Linked DNA regions of Rhinolophus ferrumequinum. The protein of the gene in region 2 interacts with the protein of the main gene of each other region in a pairwise test. Links are inferred from orthologs where the notes say so. Each region holds a gene or a part of one and is shown on either strand. Other genes may lie near its edges.

Region 1 (7,916 bases), on a different chromosome or scaffold from region 2:
CTGCGACCCGGTGCCTTTCCACATCCCGCTGCTGGACTCGCCTCTTCTAGGAGCCGGAAGGCGCTCGGGTGGCGCCAGCCGGGGTGGCGCCCTGCCCAGCCAAGCTGCCCCTGACACCCGCTCTTCGATCCTTCCCTCACTCAGACCAAGCGCTTTGCAACGATTGCTTTTATTCCTTCTAGAAAAGGATCCCGAAAGGGACCGCGCCTCCCTCCCGGGCGGGGAATGGCACGGAGCGGGGAGAAGCCCCGTCACCCGAGGGTGGCGCGGTTTCGGTGGGCGAGGGCCGACTTCTTACTGCACGCCCTCCATCATCTTCAGGAACTCTGCGGGAAGGAGAGAGAGGGACAGGCGGTCAGGGGTCCCCTCGGGACGCAGAACCCTGCGCCGGGGGCGCAGTGTCAGGGGGCGGCGAGTGAGGCCGGGCCAGGGCGCCCGCCGACACCGGGCGCGCGGGAGGAACCCGGTCAGGCCAGCCCCGCCCCGCCCCTGAGGCTAGCCGCCCGCGTGGGTGCCGGCGGCACGGGTGCCCCGCCCTGGATGCGCTCCACGCGGCTCTGTCCCGGCTCCCCAGGCCTGTGGCCCTCACCGTCGAAGTCAATGCGGCCATCGTTGTTCTTATCCCCGTCTTTCATCAGGGATTCGATCTCCTCATCTGTCACGTGCTCCCCAGAGGACCTGAAGATCTCAGCCAGCTCCTCCGCATCGATGTAGCCGTCTGCGTTCCTTCGGGCCGAGGGACAGGGCGGGACTCAGGGCAGGCAGGGGCTCGCCGCCCCCGCCACACTCCACACCCCACTCCCAGCACCCCCACCCCGAGAACCCTTCGCGCCCTGCGGACCGGTCTCCGGCTGCTCAGCGCCTGCCTCGGCTCCCAGGCCCCCAATGCACCTGTCGAAGACGCGGAAACACTCGGCCAGCTCCTCCTCGCTCTTCCCTTTCGCGTCCTCTTTCATCTGGCGCACCATCATGACCAAGAACTCCTCGAAGTCGATGGTGCCGCTGCCTGAAGGGAGCAGGTGGTGAGTGACCCTGAGTCCCGGACACCTGGCTGCCCGCCTCTCCCGATTCCCCCTCGCACCCTGCCTGGGGAGGCCACCCGCTCACCGTCCTCATCCACCTCCTCAATGATGGCGTCCAGCTCCTCTTTGGTGGGTGTCTGGCCCAGCATTCTCATCACCGTGCCCAACTCCTTGACGCTGATGTCCCCGCCACCATCAGCGTCAAACATGTCAAAGGCGGCCTTGAACTCTGCGAAGTGAAGGAAGGCAGAGGGCTGAGGTAAGCCTGGCTGGACTGTCAGCCTCACATCTACCTTCCCACCCTGCCCAGATACCAAACATCCCCCCAGCAGACATCAACCCTACAGTTAGCCTGCCACTCCACTCACCAGCGATCATCTCCTCGCTGAGGTAGGACCGGGCCTCGGCCTGCTGGTCTGTCTGCAGAAGACACAGAGTCAGATGACAGAAGGGGCAGCCCTGGGGCAAATTCTTGCCTTAACCCCTGTGTCCTCAAGCGCCAGCTCTGTAAGTGCCCCTTGGTCATCAGGAAGAACAACTCCAAACTAGCCATCCCTTCTGCCTGCCCCCACAGCCCCGGACCCCAGTTTTGGATAACTAGAGAGGAAACATTATGCCCAAGGCCTTCTCGCTTGTCAATCAGAAGTCAAGTCAGGAACCCCCCCAGTAACCTTGGGGGGGGTCACTTGATGTCCCCTCATATCCTCACCTCTTCTGAGCAGCTTTTCAGGGATGAAATGAAATTAGGGCTGTGAAAGGACTTTGTAAAGCGCCAGCACCAGTCCAGCGTGATTTCCCCATTTTCCCTAGCTCCTAACTGTATCTCGTACTTTAATAGGTGCTCAATAAATGTTTGTTCTCAAATAAATCACACAACACCACGTTCCTGAGCACCCACTAAGTGTCAGAACATAACCCAAGCACTAGGACCACCAAGCAGACACCTCATCCTTCCCCTCTGGGAACTTGCAGAAGTGGAGATGTTTAAGCTTCCTTCTTATGATTCAGTCATTAGAGTAAAGGCCACTCATGCCAGGCAGAACATGATGGGGGCCTTGCAGGGGTGAAAATAAGATTCCCGTGGGGTTTCCAGTCACATCTAAGCCAAGCCATCTGGATAGGGGGCTTTGGACTGTGGCTGGTGGTGAGGAAGGGCTGAGGCACCCAAGAAGTTCCTCTGGCTGGTGGCTGGCCCTCCTCCTTGCCCCCCTCCTCCTTGCCTGTGCCAGGAGGACAAGCTAATTTTAGGCTGGTGAGGGCAACAGCAGCTGGCCTCCAGGGTCTAGTTACTCCTTGAAGTGCAGTGGAGAGGGGGATCTCAGAGAAAGATGATAGCTCCAAAGCAGACCCCCTCTGTGGGAGGCTGGGGTCTCTCTAACTCTGGCCTGTCATCTTCTGCCCCTTCTCATAACCCTTGGAGCTTGAGGCCCTGGAGGCCTCCCACCTTCCAAAGGAGACTTTCTTCTCCCACTGGCAGGAGGGTTTGGCCAGGCTTCTCCAGCCTATCCCTGCCACCGGTTCGCTGGTGTGACTCACTCTGGCCCTCAGGGTCCCCATCTCTACCAAGCTAAGGTAGACACAAGCTAAGACACCCCCCTCACAGGTCAAAGACCAACATTGCTGGAAGTCCTAGAAGGTCTGCAGGAAATCTGCACACCTTGAGGGCCAATGCCGGGGACATCCCCGCCCTGCCTTCCAAGAGAAGTCCAAGGCTTTCCTCCCAGGCTTCCTCCTAGACACCTGGGTTGCAGGAACCTTCACATTCCATCTTCAAACATCCAAGTTACTGTTCCACAGAGCACTCGGATTTGGCTTTAAAGAGCCCAGGCGTCCTCCAGCAAGCAAAGGGATGAAGTCCCTTCTTGTCCTTACCATGGTTCCTAGTCACAGGGACTCCTCTGCTGCTGGTCACCTCCTCTGCACTCCACCACCCAAAGATGCCCTGGCCCGCTCCAGGCCCTGGGATTTGTAGGGGCACCTTATCCTCCCACCTCCCTGCTCCCCAGGACTGGATGCCCTGGCCAATCAGATCCTGGGGTCAGTGAGTCCCCCCTCCTCCCGGAGTCCTAGCCCATTGCCTAATTTAGCCAAGGGCCCTTGCAGAGAAATTGAAGCCTCAGAGCAGGTGGCAGGCCTTGACGTCCTAGATTCTTAGAGGAGAACCCGCCCTGCTCCACTACCTTCGCGAGCCCCCTCCAAGAAGCACACTTGCTCCAAGATGGGTGAGGACAATCAGAATAGAGAAAAGTGAGGCTACGCGGTGGAATGGGGAAGCACAAACCTTGAAGTCCAAAACCCAAAATCTAAGTCCTGCCTCGGCAGGCTGTGTAACCTTGGACAGGTGGCAATGCTGCTCTGAGCTCCTGTTTCCTTGTCTGTGAGAAGGGCACAGTCATAACCTCCCTCACAGAGAGACTGTGGTACACAGGAGCCCAAGTATAAGTCACCTAGCTTGTGCCAGCTACATACTGTTGATGCTTGGCAAATGGAATGTCCTGTCTTTGAACAGGACCCGAGGAAGGGAAAGTGACAGCCACAGTTATTGAACCTCTACAACATGCACACACTGTACTAAGCATTTTAACCACATTATCTCAGAGCTCATCTAGTACTCATCCTGTGGGGTGCCAACTATTGTTATGCCCTTTTTATTGGGGAGCTTTGTAAATCATAAAGGTCTATAGTCAGATTGGTGATTCGTATTAATCTTGACTGAGGGGAACTTGGGACAGACACTTCTTGGGGGACCCATCCAGACGGAGAATTGTTCGGCCGGGTCCAGGAAACAGGATGTGCCCTTGGAGGAGAAATCAACATTGAAAGCAGATTCTTCTCTGAAGTTTACCTTCTCCAGGGAAAGGATTTGGAGATTTACTTTTTGGGGGAGGAAGAGGACCAGAGGAAGTTTGTCTAATTAGATAAAGGGGCAGCGGACCCCTTGTTGGAGCTTGGGGGTGAAGTCTGCAGGTGCTCAGCTGACCATCTGGAGAGTAAAAGGGTGAGCAGATCAAGTCACGTCTGAAGGGGTCCTAGCCTGAGAATCCACAGGGTCCAGCCTGGGCGTTGGGAAGTAGGCCACACTCATGACAATGGTTAAGGCAACAGAAAGAGCTCTGAGACAACTGAGCACAGAGTCTGGGGCCAGTGAAAGGGGGCTGGACACCAAGGTAGGCAGATGGACAGTGGCAACTGGGCTGCCCTCTTCCCCTATATATAGACATTCCCAAAGGAAAGCTCAGAGGAGCCAGGCCAGGCTAAATAAGGCCTCTCCAAGCCAGACAGAGGGCCAAGGGGCGATGACACTCAAGGGATTCCAATTTGGACACAAACGTTGGAACCACTTGATCCCTTTGGAACAGAGTGTGGAACTCTCAGCAATCATTTGTTCATTGATTTGTTATTTAATTTGTTCAGGGGCATAGATAACATCCACATTTAGTGTGGCCAAGCAAGGTCCCACTGACCACTCCCATCTCACTCCCCTTCCCTCCCCACCTTGCATGCTGCTTTGCTTTGGTCCAATGAAAATACAATTCAAAACACCACCCTTTATAGCCTCCAGGCCTTCGCACGTGCTGTTTTTTTCTGCCAGGATCTTCCCATCTTCCCGCTCTTCATCTGCTTACTTCTCTATCTTTCTCAGCTTTAGCATTACTTCATCCAGGATCCCTCTTCCTCTACACCCAGGCCAAGAGAGTCTAAGGTGGTCTCCAGTAGTTTCCTCAGTCATAACACTGCACGTGCCCCATGATCACAACCCGTTCTGAGTTCCACAGACAAGAGGCGGTGTCCTAGTCACCACTGCATTGCCCAGTACCCAGCACTTGGCACTTAGCAAGGGTTCAATAAAGATTGTGTGCTTTGTAAGAATAACTGAACTGAATGGCTACTGGTTCAATACAAGAAGGAAGTCACCGTTGAAGAACAACAGGAACAGGCAGCCTCAGGAGGTGAAAAGCTTCTTGTTACTGAATGCATGCAAGCAGGAATTTGATGACCATCTCTCCATACAGAGTCTAAGAGTAGTGCAATACAGGACATCAGGAGATCTCCTTGTTCTGGCCCTGTTTGTGTGTCCCAGGGTAAGCCCTTTCCCCTCCCTGAGCCTCAGACTACCCATCTGGAAAATGGAAGTGCTAGGCCAGATTTCTGAGAGACCCTCCTGCTCTGACAACCCATGGTTTTATGAATACCTGCTTTGTACCCAGATTGTGAGGCATATACCAAAGTACAACTTAATATTCAGCCAATGTTTGGTGAATGAGTGAGTGTTGAGTGAATGAATGAATGATGTGTCTTTTTTGCCCCAACACCATGCTGGTAAGCTGAATGAAGAGTAGTTAGAACTTTGAAATTACACAGACTTGGCCTTAATTCCAAGCTCTCCTATTTCCTAGCTGTGGATTTTGGGAAAGTCAATTTGCCTCAGTTTCTTCATCTTGAAAATGGACCGTCATTGTCCAATAACAACCCCTTCCCTAGGATGTTGTGAGGGTGAAATGTGACCCCATGCAAAGTGCCTAGAACAGGATGTACACGGAAACTCAATGGAACCTCAAGAAATGAGAGCCCCGCCCCCTCTGCACGTGGGATGGCAGGGAATGTGTTTTCCATTCAAAGCTATTTTCCCCTACCCCCCTCTCCTGTGCCATTCAAAACGGGTGGGAGCTACTATCAGAGCGATTTTATTTGTTCGGTTGTATAACTAGCAATATCTGCCCTGTTAGGGACCAATATCTGGGCCTTCCGACACAGGCAGCGACAATAAATTCTTCTTCACCTGCTGCTACCATCCCCATAACACATAAAACACAGCCCTCCATAGATGTTGCTCAAAATTAGCGGGCCTGCTGCTTAGGAAAAGAACAGGGAAAGAACTCAGAAACCTGGGCTATTAGGCCCCATACTCAGAAAACTCTTGGCAAGCTGTGTGACTTTGGGCAAGTAACTCAGTCTCTCTGGGTTTCTTACCCTTTTGCCTACTTCCTTTATGTGAGGCTCAAGTGGAATTGTAAAAGCCTATGAACACTGTAGAAACAATAATCATGTGACTGATCATTCTGTAAATCCCTGCTCTGTGCCAGGCACTGGACTACGGTCCTTACAAAAGCTGCAAAATTAGTACTAGTATTAATTGTACTTTTATACATGAGAAAACCTAGGCTCAGCGCGGTCAGATTCCAACCCAGATCACGGGTCTTCTCTTGGCCTTAGTTTTCTCACCGGAAAGATGGGTTTCCCACTGTCACGTAATGACTTTGGAGAGTTCAAGAGTGCTGGGTGGAAACTAGGGGCTATATTGGGTCCAGCCTGAGTCTCCGGGATGGGTGAGAGGATTCAAGGAGGGTGTGAGCCCCGTCGGATTGGAGACGATACCGCAGGAGGCCTGGGGCTCGCCCAGGCCTACCCAGGATTCCCAAGTCTCTCCTAGAGCAAAGGGCCTGGGATTCCCGGGCGTCTCCGGGTAGCGGGCGGGGCTGGGGGCGGGGCGGCGGCAGGAAGCGGCAGGAGCGGCGCCCGGAGCTGCTGGGCCGGGCAGAGCCGGCCCGGCCTCTGTAAACGGCCGGGGGCTGCACCGGGACCCCTAGGCAGCGACGCGTCCCCGAGTGCTCCGCTGAACGCAGGAGGTCGAGACGCTACAGGGGGAGACAGAGACGTGGGTAGTAGAGTCCCGGCCCCTCCCGGGAAGTGCGCGGCCCCAAGCTGTGCGGGTGAGGGGAGGGGGATGCGAGAGGAGTCCCGGGACTCTCAGGACCCCACCGGGCAGGGGCGGGGCCTCCGCGGCGTCCCTCCCTCCCCCAACCTGGACCCCTCCCCTCCTCCTTCCCGATCGGGGCCCGGGTCTTCCGCCAGGGCTCAGGACCCACAGTCACGCACTCCCCCTAGGGTGCCATGGCTTCGCGGCTCCTGCACCGGCTGCGGCACGCTCTGGCCGGCGAGGGCCTCGGGGAGGCGGCGGCCGGTCCCGAGGTCGAGCAGTTCCCGGAGAGCTCGGAGCTGGAGGACGACGACGCCGAGGGCCTGTCCTCCCGTCTCAGCGGCACCCTTAGCTTCACCAGCGCCGAGGATGCGGACGACGAGGACGAGGACGACGACGAGGACGACGGCCCGGACCCACTGCCCCGTGGGGACGAGGCGTCGGGAGAAGACACAGGCGAGTGCGGAGGACGAAGGCGGAAACCTTGGGGGCTCGATTAGGCCTCCACCACGGCCACCTTCCCGAGATGGTCACAGGGCTCTGAGTTGATCTTGCCCAAACTCCGAAATTCTGACACTTTGAAGTGTCCCAACCACCTCTTGAATGTGTGACCTTGAGAGAGTCACAATACCTTTTTGAACCAAGTTCTCCCTAGTGTCAGATGGGGGAAATCACTCCCTTCTCAGAGTTGTTGCAGACATTAGCTGTACCAGAGTCAGGGATACAACGTGGTAATGTGCTAGGGATGTCTTGGGGGTGCAGATATTAAGTTAGTGCCTACTGTGCACTTATCTGCCAGGCACGATGTTGGGCATTCAGGCCCTCTCTGGCCCTCAGTTTCCTTTTATGACAAATGGGGATAAAGTTATGTCACTTGTTGGGAGGATGAGTAAGGTCATAGAACGTGGTTTATGTGATCCTGGCTCCGGGCCCATTGATGTGACTGGTCTGTACTCATGCAGAACAGAACCCCCCACCTGATGGGCAGCGGGGTAGTCAGCACCTGGCACGGCAATTGCAGGATTTCTGGAAGAAGTCCCGGAACACCCTGGTACCCCAGCGGCTGCTCTTCGAAGTGACCAGCGCCAATGTGGTCAAGGACCCCCCCTCCAAGTACGTGGTGAGTGAGTGTCCAGGAATTCCTGAGCTGTGAGTCTACAAGTCTAGCTAAGAGAAAGTAAAGACGACTCCAACTT
Region 2 (7,524 bases):
CTGGAATGGCCATCATAGCTGTTGTCGTATTACCCTTGATGTCCTGAATGTCATCAAAATGTCTTCCTTTCAATATTTCCTTTATCTCCGGGTAAAGAAAGAAGTCACTGGGGGCCAGATCAGGTGAGTAGGGAGGGTGTTCCAATACAGTTATTTGTTTACTGGCTAAAAACTCCCTCACAGAGGCAGTTGGTTAGCTCAGTTGGTTAGAGCACATGTTCTTAACAACAAGGTTGCTATTTTGATTCCCACATGGGCCAGTGAGCTGTGCCCTCAACAACTAGATTGAGGACGACTTGAGCTGAGCTGCCACTGAGCTGCTGGTGGGTGGCCTGATGGCTCAGTTGGTTAAAACATGTGCTCTTGAAAATGGCGACAGGACTTGGGGCTGAGCTGCGCCCTCCACAACTAGACTGAAGGACAAAGACTTGACTTGGAGCTGATGGGTCCTGGAAAAAACAGTTCCCCAATAAAATTAAACAAAACAAAACAAAACAAAAAAACCCTCACAGACAGTGCCGTGTGAGCTGGTGCATTGTCATGATGCAAGAGCCATGAATTGTTGGCAAAAAGTTCAGGTCACCTAACTAACTTTTTCATGCCCCCTTTTCAGCACTTCCACATAGTAAACTTGGTTAACTGTTTGTCCAGTTGGTACAAATTCATAATAATCCATCTGATATCAAAAAAGATTAACAACATAATTGCAACAAGTTCACGAACTTAATGTCAGACCTTTGTATTTTCACAAACATGTTTTCTGCTGTCCTACATCCTGGCTTTTGCATGTGTTGTTCCCTCTGCCTGAAACAGCCTTGCCTGGCCATACTGAAGTCATCCTTCTGCCCCCTCCCTACTAGACTGACAGAGTTGTCATGGGTCTCCTTAACCACAAGCAGCTGCAAGGGACCAGGCTGACAACAGCCCCAGGCATTGCACCCCACCCTGAAGGGAACCAGACTGCCCCGTGCCTCCCACCTCCGTGATGTTCTTGGTAACTTTTGCCTCCACATCGTATCTCTCCTCATCCACCTTGTCCACACGGGCATGAAGCTGTCGGCACAAGTCCTGGTGAAGGAAAGTGGTGTGTGTAGTTGGGGGGAGCCTGGGGACCTGGACTCTTGGGTCTGAGGGAGGAATATCTGGGGACCTGGACATCTGGTCCTGAAGGAGTAGACTGAAGCTGAATTCTGAGGAACTGAGAACAAAGCAGAACTCTAGAGCAAGGAGTCCTGAGAATCTGACAGAATTAGGGCTGGAAAAAGCAACCTCTGGATTTTTTGCAGCTGCAGGCCATATTTCTGAACTTGTGAGGGTAAGGATTGGGAGATTGGACCCCAAGGTCCTGAGCAGAAGGGGGACAATAGTGACTGTACCCAACTCCCAAGGATGCAAGATCGGACACGAGGAACCTCGGAACCCGGGCTGGGCAGGAGTCCGTGATTAGGGCCGGTACCTGCAGCTCCTGGAAGCCCAGCCCGGCTAACTCCAGAGGCTGGCACCGCGTGCTCAGAGCGCGTCCCTTCTCTCCACGCCGATCCTCCGCCTCCCGCTCCAGCTCCTGCTTCGCTATCTGTAGCATCAGGGTCTGCAGAGGGGACGCCGGGACCACAGCCCACCGGGGTGAGGGGTTCGAAGTCGCAGAGGGGATGCCCCCTCTGTCTGGCCCTCCCTCTAATCTCTGGCGGGGTCCTTGGTCTTCCAGAGACACGCCTCCTCAAGGTCCATCATTCCAAGGCCCCGCCTCTCCTATGGCTGGGCTCCCCACCTCAAAGTCACGCCCCCAAGACGCACCACTTCAAGCCACGCCCAATGACAATCCAAAGCCCCGCCCCAATTTTCAAGCTCTGCCACCCAAGGACATCTAGGCGCCCTCTCCAGGCCCGTCCGCACCTTCAGCTGCAGTTTTCTCGAGGCGGAGATCTTAGACTTTTTCTGCCAGGGTGAGATAGAGAGAGGATCAGGAAGGGGGATCCGAAGGTGGGCGGTGGGAGGGACTTAAGAACCCACCACCTCTAGTCAGGTCGAGGATTGGGCCCGCCTCCAACTCCAGCCCTAGGTCTACGTGAGGCTACGCCCCTCAGTCCCATCCACCAATCTGGGCCCAATATTCCCTAAGCAATCGTAGTTCCCCTGGACAACGGAACCCCGCCCATAGGCAGCTCTGACAATCCGATCCCAGCCCCTTGAGAACCCCCCGCCCCCCATCCAAAGCGCCTCATCCCTTTTGGCTCCGTGAATGACTGAAGTCCCGCCTCTATTAAGGACCTGGCCCCGTCCCCATTTCCCAAGGTACGAGTAAACCACCTCAGAGTCTGAATCCGGACCCCGCCCTTGCCCCGCCCGCCGCACTGGCCCCGCCCTCACCTTGGCATGCGGCTCGGTGGCATAAGCGCGGTAGTTGGCGGAGGAGCGGCGGCGGATCGGAGCAGGCGCGGGGCACGAGTCCCCGGCCTGGGTTGGGGGGACGGAGCCGCATTACCACCAGGACCCCCAGCTCCCCTGTATGCTCCAGCCTCCCGCCCCAGAGCCCTCCCGGCAGCGCCCTCCCCCGGCCCGCGGGTCCGGCCCACGCCTGCTCTCACCGCATCGCTGCTTCTGAAGGGAGAGAAACCAGGAAAGGGGGGTTAATGCTGGGCCTCTTTACTGTCCTGTCCAGTCCTTCTCCTAAGGGACCCCAGAAGCCCCTCTGACCAAGAGGTCTGACCACCAGCTCTCCCGACTCTGGTCCCAGGAGTGTGATTCCCAAACTCTTAACCCATTCCGACTCCCAGGAGTCCTGTCTCCACCTCCCTTCTCAGGCCAGGGGTCCAGCCTCCCAGCTCTCACCCCTCCCAGGGACCCAGGAGACCGGGTTACCAGCTTCACTCACTCGTCTGCCATGCTGAGACTCTAGCCAAGTGTTGCAAAGGCAGAGAAGGGCAACAGGCTCTTGGAGGGTCAGTGAGGGGGCGTCCGGGGTGACCTTGAAGACCCTTGGGACTTCGTCGCGTCTGAGCAGCTCAAGCCTCACTGAGGACACTGATAAAGGGCGAAGGCAGAGACTAAATATACTGCTGCCCTCTCCTCCCTCTGCCCAGGATGCGAGATAACAGGGCACGTGAGGGGTGGGATGGGCCATGCTTCAGCTGGATCACCCGTCCACATTGGTGGACTGGGAATCCAGCCCGGCCCCTTAGCTTTGACCCAGGAGTCCAGGCCCCCAGCCCCTCCTCCTTCAGACCCAGGAGTCCAGGCCCCCAGCCCCTCCTCCTTCAGACCCAGAAGTCCAGGCCCCCAACCCCTCCTCCCTCAGACCCAGGAGTCCAGGCCCCCAGCCCCTCCTCCTTCAGACCCAGAAGTCCAGGCCCCCAGCCCCTCCTCCTTCAGACCCAGAAGTCCAGGCCCCCAACCCCTTCTCCTTCAGACCCAGGAGTCCAGGCCCCCGGCCCCTTAGCTTTGACCCAGGAGTCCAGGCCCCCAACCCCTCCTCCTTCAGACCCAGGAGTCCAGGCCCCCAACCCCTCCTCCTTCAGACCCAGAAATCCAGGCCCCCAGCCCCTCCTCCTTCAGACCCAGAAGTCCAGGCCCCCAACCCCTCCTCCTTCAGACCCAGGAGTCCAGGCCCCCAGCCCCTCCTCCTTCAGACCCAGAAGTCCAGGCCCCCAACCCCTTCTCCTTCAGACCCAGGAGTCCAGGCCCCCGGCCCCTTAGCTTTGACCCAGGAGTCCAGGCCCCCAACCCCTCCTCCTTCAGACCCAGGAGTCCAGGCCCCCAACCCCTCCTCCTTCAGACCCAGAAATCCAGGCCCCCAGCCCCTCCTCCTTCAGACCCAGAAGTCCAGGCCCCCAACCCCTCCTCCTTCAGACCCAGGAGTCCAGGCCCCCAGCCCCTCCTCCTTCAGACCCAGGCGTCTGGGCTCCTCTCCCCTCACTAAACTGCAATCTCCATGAGGGCAGGAGCTTTGTCCTTCGTTGTTTTTCATCTTATGGTTAGGTTCAGTGCCCCAAAGCTGTCAGCAACTCAATGTATTTTGTTGATTTATTTGAGGATCCAAGTGTGGGGTGCTCAGGCACTCAAGCGACAGCACCAGGAAATCCACTCCTAGTCTACTTGGAAACCCAGAAATCTGATGTTGGCTCTCCTTTTCTAACCACTTCTGACCCCTTCCTTGCCCCAACCTTGGGGCAAGGAAAAGACTGAAGACAGGAAAGACACACAGACACACAGAGAAGAGGACCAGGTTCTCTTTACTTGACCACGTGGGTGCTGACCACCCCCAGGAGAGAAGACACCCCCAACCCCAAGTTAGGAATGGAACAGCTGGGAACCACATAGAGGGCGGTAGACCCAGGGCCAAATCTCTAGGCCGCGTTTAGAGTCTCAGGAGTGGAGTGTAGAACTCTGAGAAAACAATGTACAATTGTAGGGATAGAATATAGAATCCCAGGAATGGAATCTGAAATTCAAGCCTTTGGGACTGAAGACCTGACTTTAGAAGTTAGAGATGGGGGACTTGGTTTCTGGGGATCCAGTCAGACTCTGGTTTTGAGGTCTCACTCCCTGTGGGTGGAGCCGAAGCCTCAGAGAATGAAACCTGAGATTCTGAGGGCAGCTGGAGGGGCACAGGGGGTGGGGTTCGGCCTTGGAGGGGCTGGGTCAGATCCTCAGAGAGTGAGTCCCTTGCCTCATGGGGTGAGACCACGACTTCAGGGAGCAGATCCACGACTCCAGGGGGCGGGACCAGGACTTCAGGGATTGGAGGCCCGGGTTCGGCCACTGAGTCAGTGCAGACCGGAGCAGAGTCCTGGCACTTGTAGAAGCGCGCGAAGGTCTCAGACGGCCTGGCCCCGGGCTGTGGGGCGAATCCGGCTGCCTGAGCTAGCTCCCTAACCCGGGCGGTAAACGCCTGCAGCTGCTCCTGCCGCAGGTCCACCAGGTACCTGAAATCGGGAAATAGCGTTAAGAGACACGGTTTTCCGCCCCCAGCCTTGTTCCCTGCCCTACTCTCAGCTGCTGGCTCACCGGGCTAACTCCACAATCAGATGTCCACCAGGGGCCACACAGGCCCCGAGCTCAGGGCTGAGAAGATGGGCCATCCTGCGGAGGGAAACGGGGTGGACTGAGGCTCAGACTTTCAGGTATTGAGGGAGGAGGGGCTGGTACCTGGACTCCTGGGTCTGAGGGAGGAGGGGCTGGGAGAGGGAAGTCTGCAAGCCCCCCACTAGGCCCTCTTACCCACAAGCCACGTAGAGAAGCTGGAACTGTCCCTTGTAGCAGGTCTTGTGGTGGAGGGTCTGGGAAGAATGGAGGGGCAGGAAGCAGATAGTGAAGGATGCCGGGCCCGGGGCTGCTGGGGAAGATGGCAGAGTTAAGCAGACACACAAAGCCTCCTCGAAGCCCTTTCTCATCCGTTCTTTTAGGTGGATGCCTGGGAAATTTTGGGATGTTGGCTGGGTAGGCACAGACATTTTATAGACGAGGCAACTAAGTAAGACTCAGGAGAAGGGAAAAGAGTGAGCCCTCATGGCCGCACAAGGCACCCAAACAACGGGGAGGGCTAGATTGGGGGACAGTTAGAAGGAGGCAAGACCAGATTTGGAGAGGGGGGGCTTTCCTGCAAAGGTGAGCTGGGAGAGACCAGAGCCTTATTAGAATGTTCTCATCCTCTTAGGCTTCCCAGGAAGGCTTAGAATTCTACTGTTGGAGTTCAGAATGCTAAGAATGGTGTCAGGACTTAGAAAAGGGAGCCAGAAATACAAAGAGAATAGAGAAAAAGAGACGGACAGTCAGGAAGGGGAGGTTACTTGTCCAGCCATTGGAAACCGTTATCTGTCCACGCTGGTATTTGAAACACCTGAAGTCTGGAGCCCGGAACGGGGGGTCCAGGTCCCACTCTCTCCGGGAGGATGATGTAGCCACTTTATCACCCGAGCCGCCTCCCCTCTCAAGGGGAAGAACTGAGTCCGCCGCTTACCAGGCTCGCGGGTTCCATCCTCTTCGCCCGGCACCTCCACGAGGTCCCCCTGGGAAGCTCTCGGACGCCCCCAGGCGGTCAGCGCTCGGAACAGCTCCGTCACGTTGTGCAGAGTGATCTCTCCGGCAGTCTGTGGGGGAATGGGCGTGACCGCGGGGCGGGGCTTAGAGAATGCCATCCCTCCCACCTCTCCATCCCCAGAGCTAGCTTCTACGGTAGGGGACCAGCTTGGATTCCCGGACTGTGTTTAGAAAGTGGAGAGGGATGGGGCGTAAACCGTGGAGGCGGAGCCTATGATTTTGTGGCGGGGCCTAGAATACAGAGGGCGGGGCCTTGCGAACACCACCCTGATCCCAGCACCCGGTGCCACACACTTTGATCGGCTGCCCGTTGCTGGTCCGCAGGAGGTTCTCATCGTCCGCTTCGATGCCAAAAGCCACGAAGGGCCCCGTGGCGATGTCCCCCCAGTACCCTCGTGCTGCCACGCGCTCCCCGCGCTGGGAAAGCAGGAAGAGAGGAGGCGGATGAGGTCGATCCAAACTCCTGGTTGCCCCAAAAGAAGGAGCTTGCCAGGGCAGGGAGTGGACACACACATGGCTCAGTAGGCGACCGGACGCCAGGGTCCTGTTGGGCACATGGTAGGCGCTGGAGTCTCTGAGTTCAAAGGCGACGCCTGTGTCCCTCCAGCGCCGGAACTCGCGTATGTGGATGACTCGGGCCTGCGGAGGGGAGAAGGAAAGAAAAGAAGCCTCAGTGAGTCCGGTAAACGGGCCAACAGCCCTTCCTCTCAAAGACCCAGGAGTCCGGGCCCCCAGCCCCTCCTCCTTCACACTCAGGACTGAAGGGCCCCAACCCCCTCACCCCGCGGTCGTGCAGCTTCATGTGCAGGTCCCAGTCGCTGACACCGCGCCGGGCGTCGTAGCGGGAGCCCAGGTAGTGGCGCAGCCTCGAGTCCCAGAGGCGACTCATTGGGAAGGCCTCCGGCCCCTTCTCCCCACCGGCCCAAAAGCGGAATACCGCCTCCAGAACGTCCCGTTCGCGGAACTGCGCGGCCGGCATGCATGGAGAGAAAGCGAGAGGGAGGGGCTGCAGGGAGAGCAGCCTCTCCTGCTTGACCCTCCCTTTCATCCCAGAGCGTGGGCACGATTCTCCCGTTTCTCAGATAAAGAAACAGGCTCGGAGAGCAGAAGCCAACCCCTAGGCCAAATCCCACAGTGGGAGCCATGGAGCTGGAGTTCCAACTCTCCAGCTCCTGACCCTCTCCATCAACGGAAACCTTTTTGGACCGCTCATCTCCATTCTTTCCGCGGCCACCCGGGTCCCAGGCGGTGATGGATGGAGGCTAGGCGGCGGCACCTTGAGTGCACCCAAGCTAATCCAGGGCAGCTGCTCCGCTAGGCTGTCGGGCTCCGGTACCAGATGTGCTAGGCGGTCGGCCTGGGCGCGCACGAAAGCGGCCACTGGGGGGCGCAGCAGCGTGTTACCCCACACCTCCAGGAAGGCCTCGCTCCTCTCTGCCGGGAGAAGGGACAAAAGTAGTGGAGGGAGCAGAAGACTGAGTCCAGAAG

What was found. The genes of interacting proteins can lie anywhere in the genome.
Region 1: the proteins of TNNI3 (region 2) and TNNC2 interact in binary tests that used the Homo sapiens proteins (3 or more experiments, as listed by UniProt). The two-hybrid records come from large-scale screens. The link is inferred for Rhinolophus ferrumequinum from reciprocal best matches to the Homo sapiens genes TNNI3 and TNNC2.

What each region holds. Positions count from the first base shown.
Region 1 is NC_046306.1:12,303,845-12,311,760, reverse strand, and holds TNNC2 (troponin C, skeletal muscle), read right to left. Parts: upstream 3,031-7,916; 5' UTR 2,898-3,030; coding exon 2,895-2,897; intron 1,443-2,894; coding exon 1,391-1,442; intron 1,252-1,390; coding exon 1,108-1,251; intron 1,007-1,107; coding exon 892-1,006; intron 727-891; coding exon 590-726; intron 327-589; coding exon 295-326; 3' UTR 154-294; downstream 1-153. Other genes in the region: SNX21 (sorting nexin-21), read left to right, coding at 6,915-7,176, 7,683-7,840. UniProt on the Homo sapiens protein: Troponin is the central regulatory protein of striated muscle contraction. Tn consists of three components: Tn-I which is the inhibitor of actomyosin ATPase, Tn-T which contains the binding site for tropomyosin and Tn-C.
Region 2 is NC_046298.1:48,372,410-48,379,933, forward strand, and holds the start of TNNI3 (troponin I, cardiac muscle), read right to left. Parts: upstream 3,038-7,524; 5' UTR 2,884-3,037; coding exon 2,873-2,883; intron 2,599-2,872; coding exon 2,586-2,598; intron 2,455-2,585; coding exon 2,368-2,454; intron 1,936-2,367; coding exon 1,894-1,935; intron 1,589-1,893; coding exon 1,457-1,588; intron 1,069-1,456; coding exon 979-1,068; intron 1-978. Other genes in the region: DNAAF3 (dynein axonemal assembly factor 3), read right to left, coding at 4,481-4,922, 5,005-5,079, 5,218-5,332, 5,957-6,086, 6,331-6,453, 6,550-6,675, 6,818-7,000, 7,313-7,470. UniProt on the Homo sapiens protein: Troponin I is the inhibitory subunit of troponin, the thin filament regulatory complex which confers calcium-sensitivity to striated muscle actomyosin ATPase activity.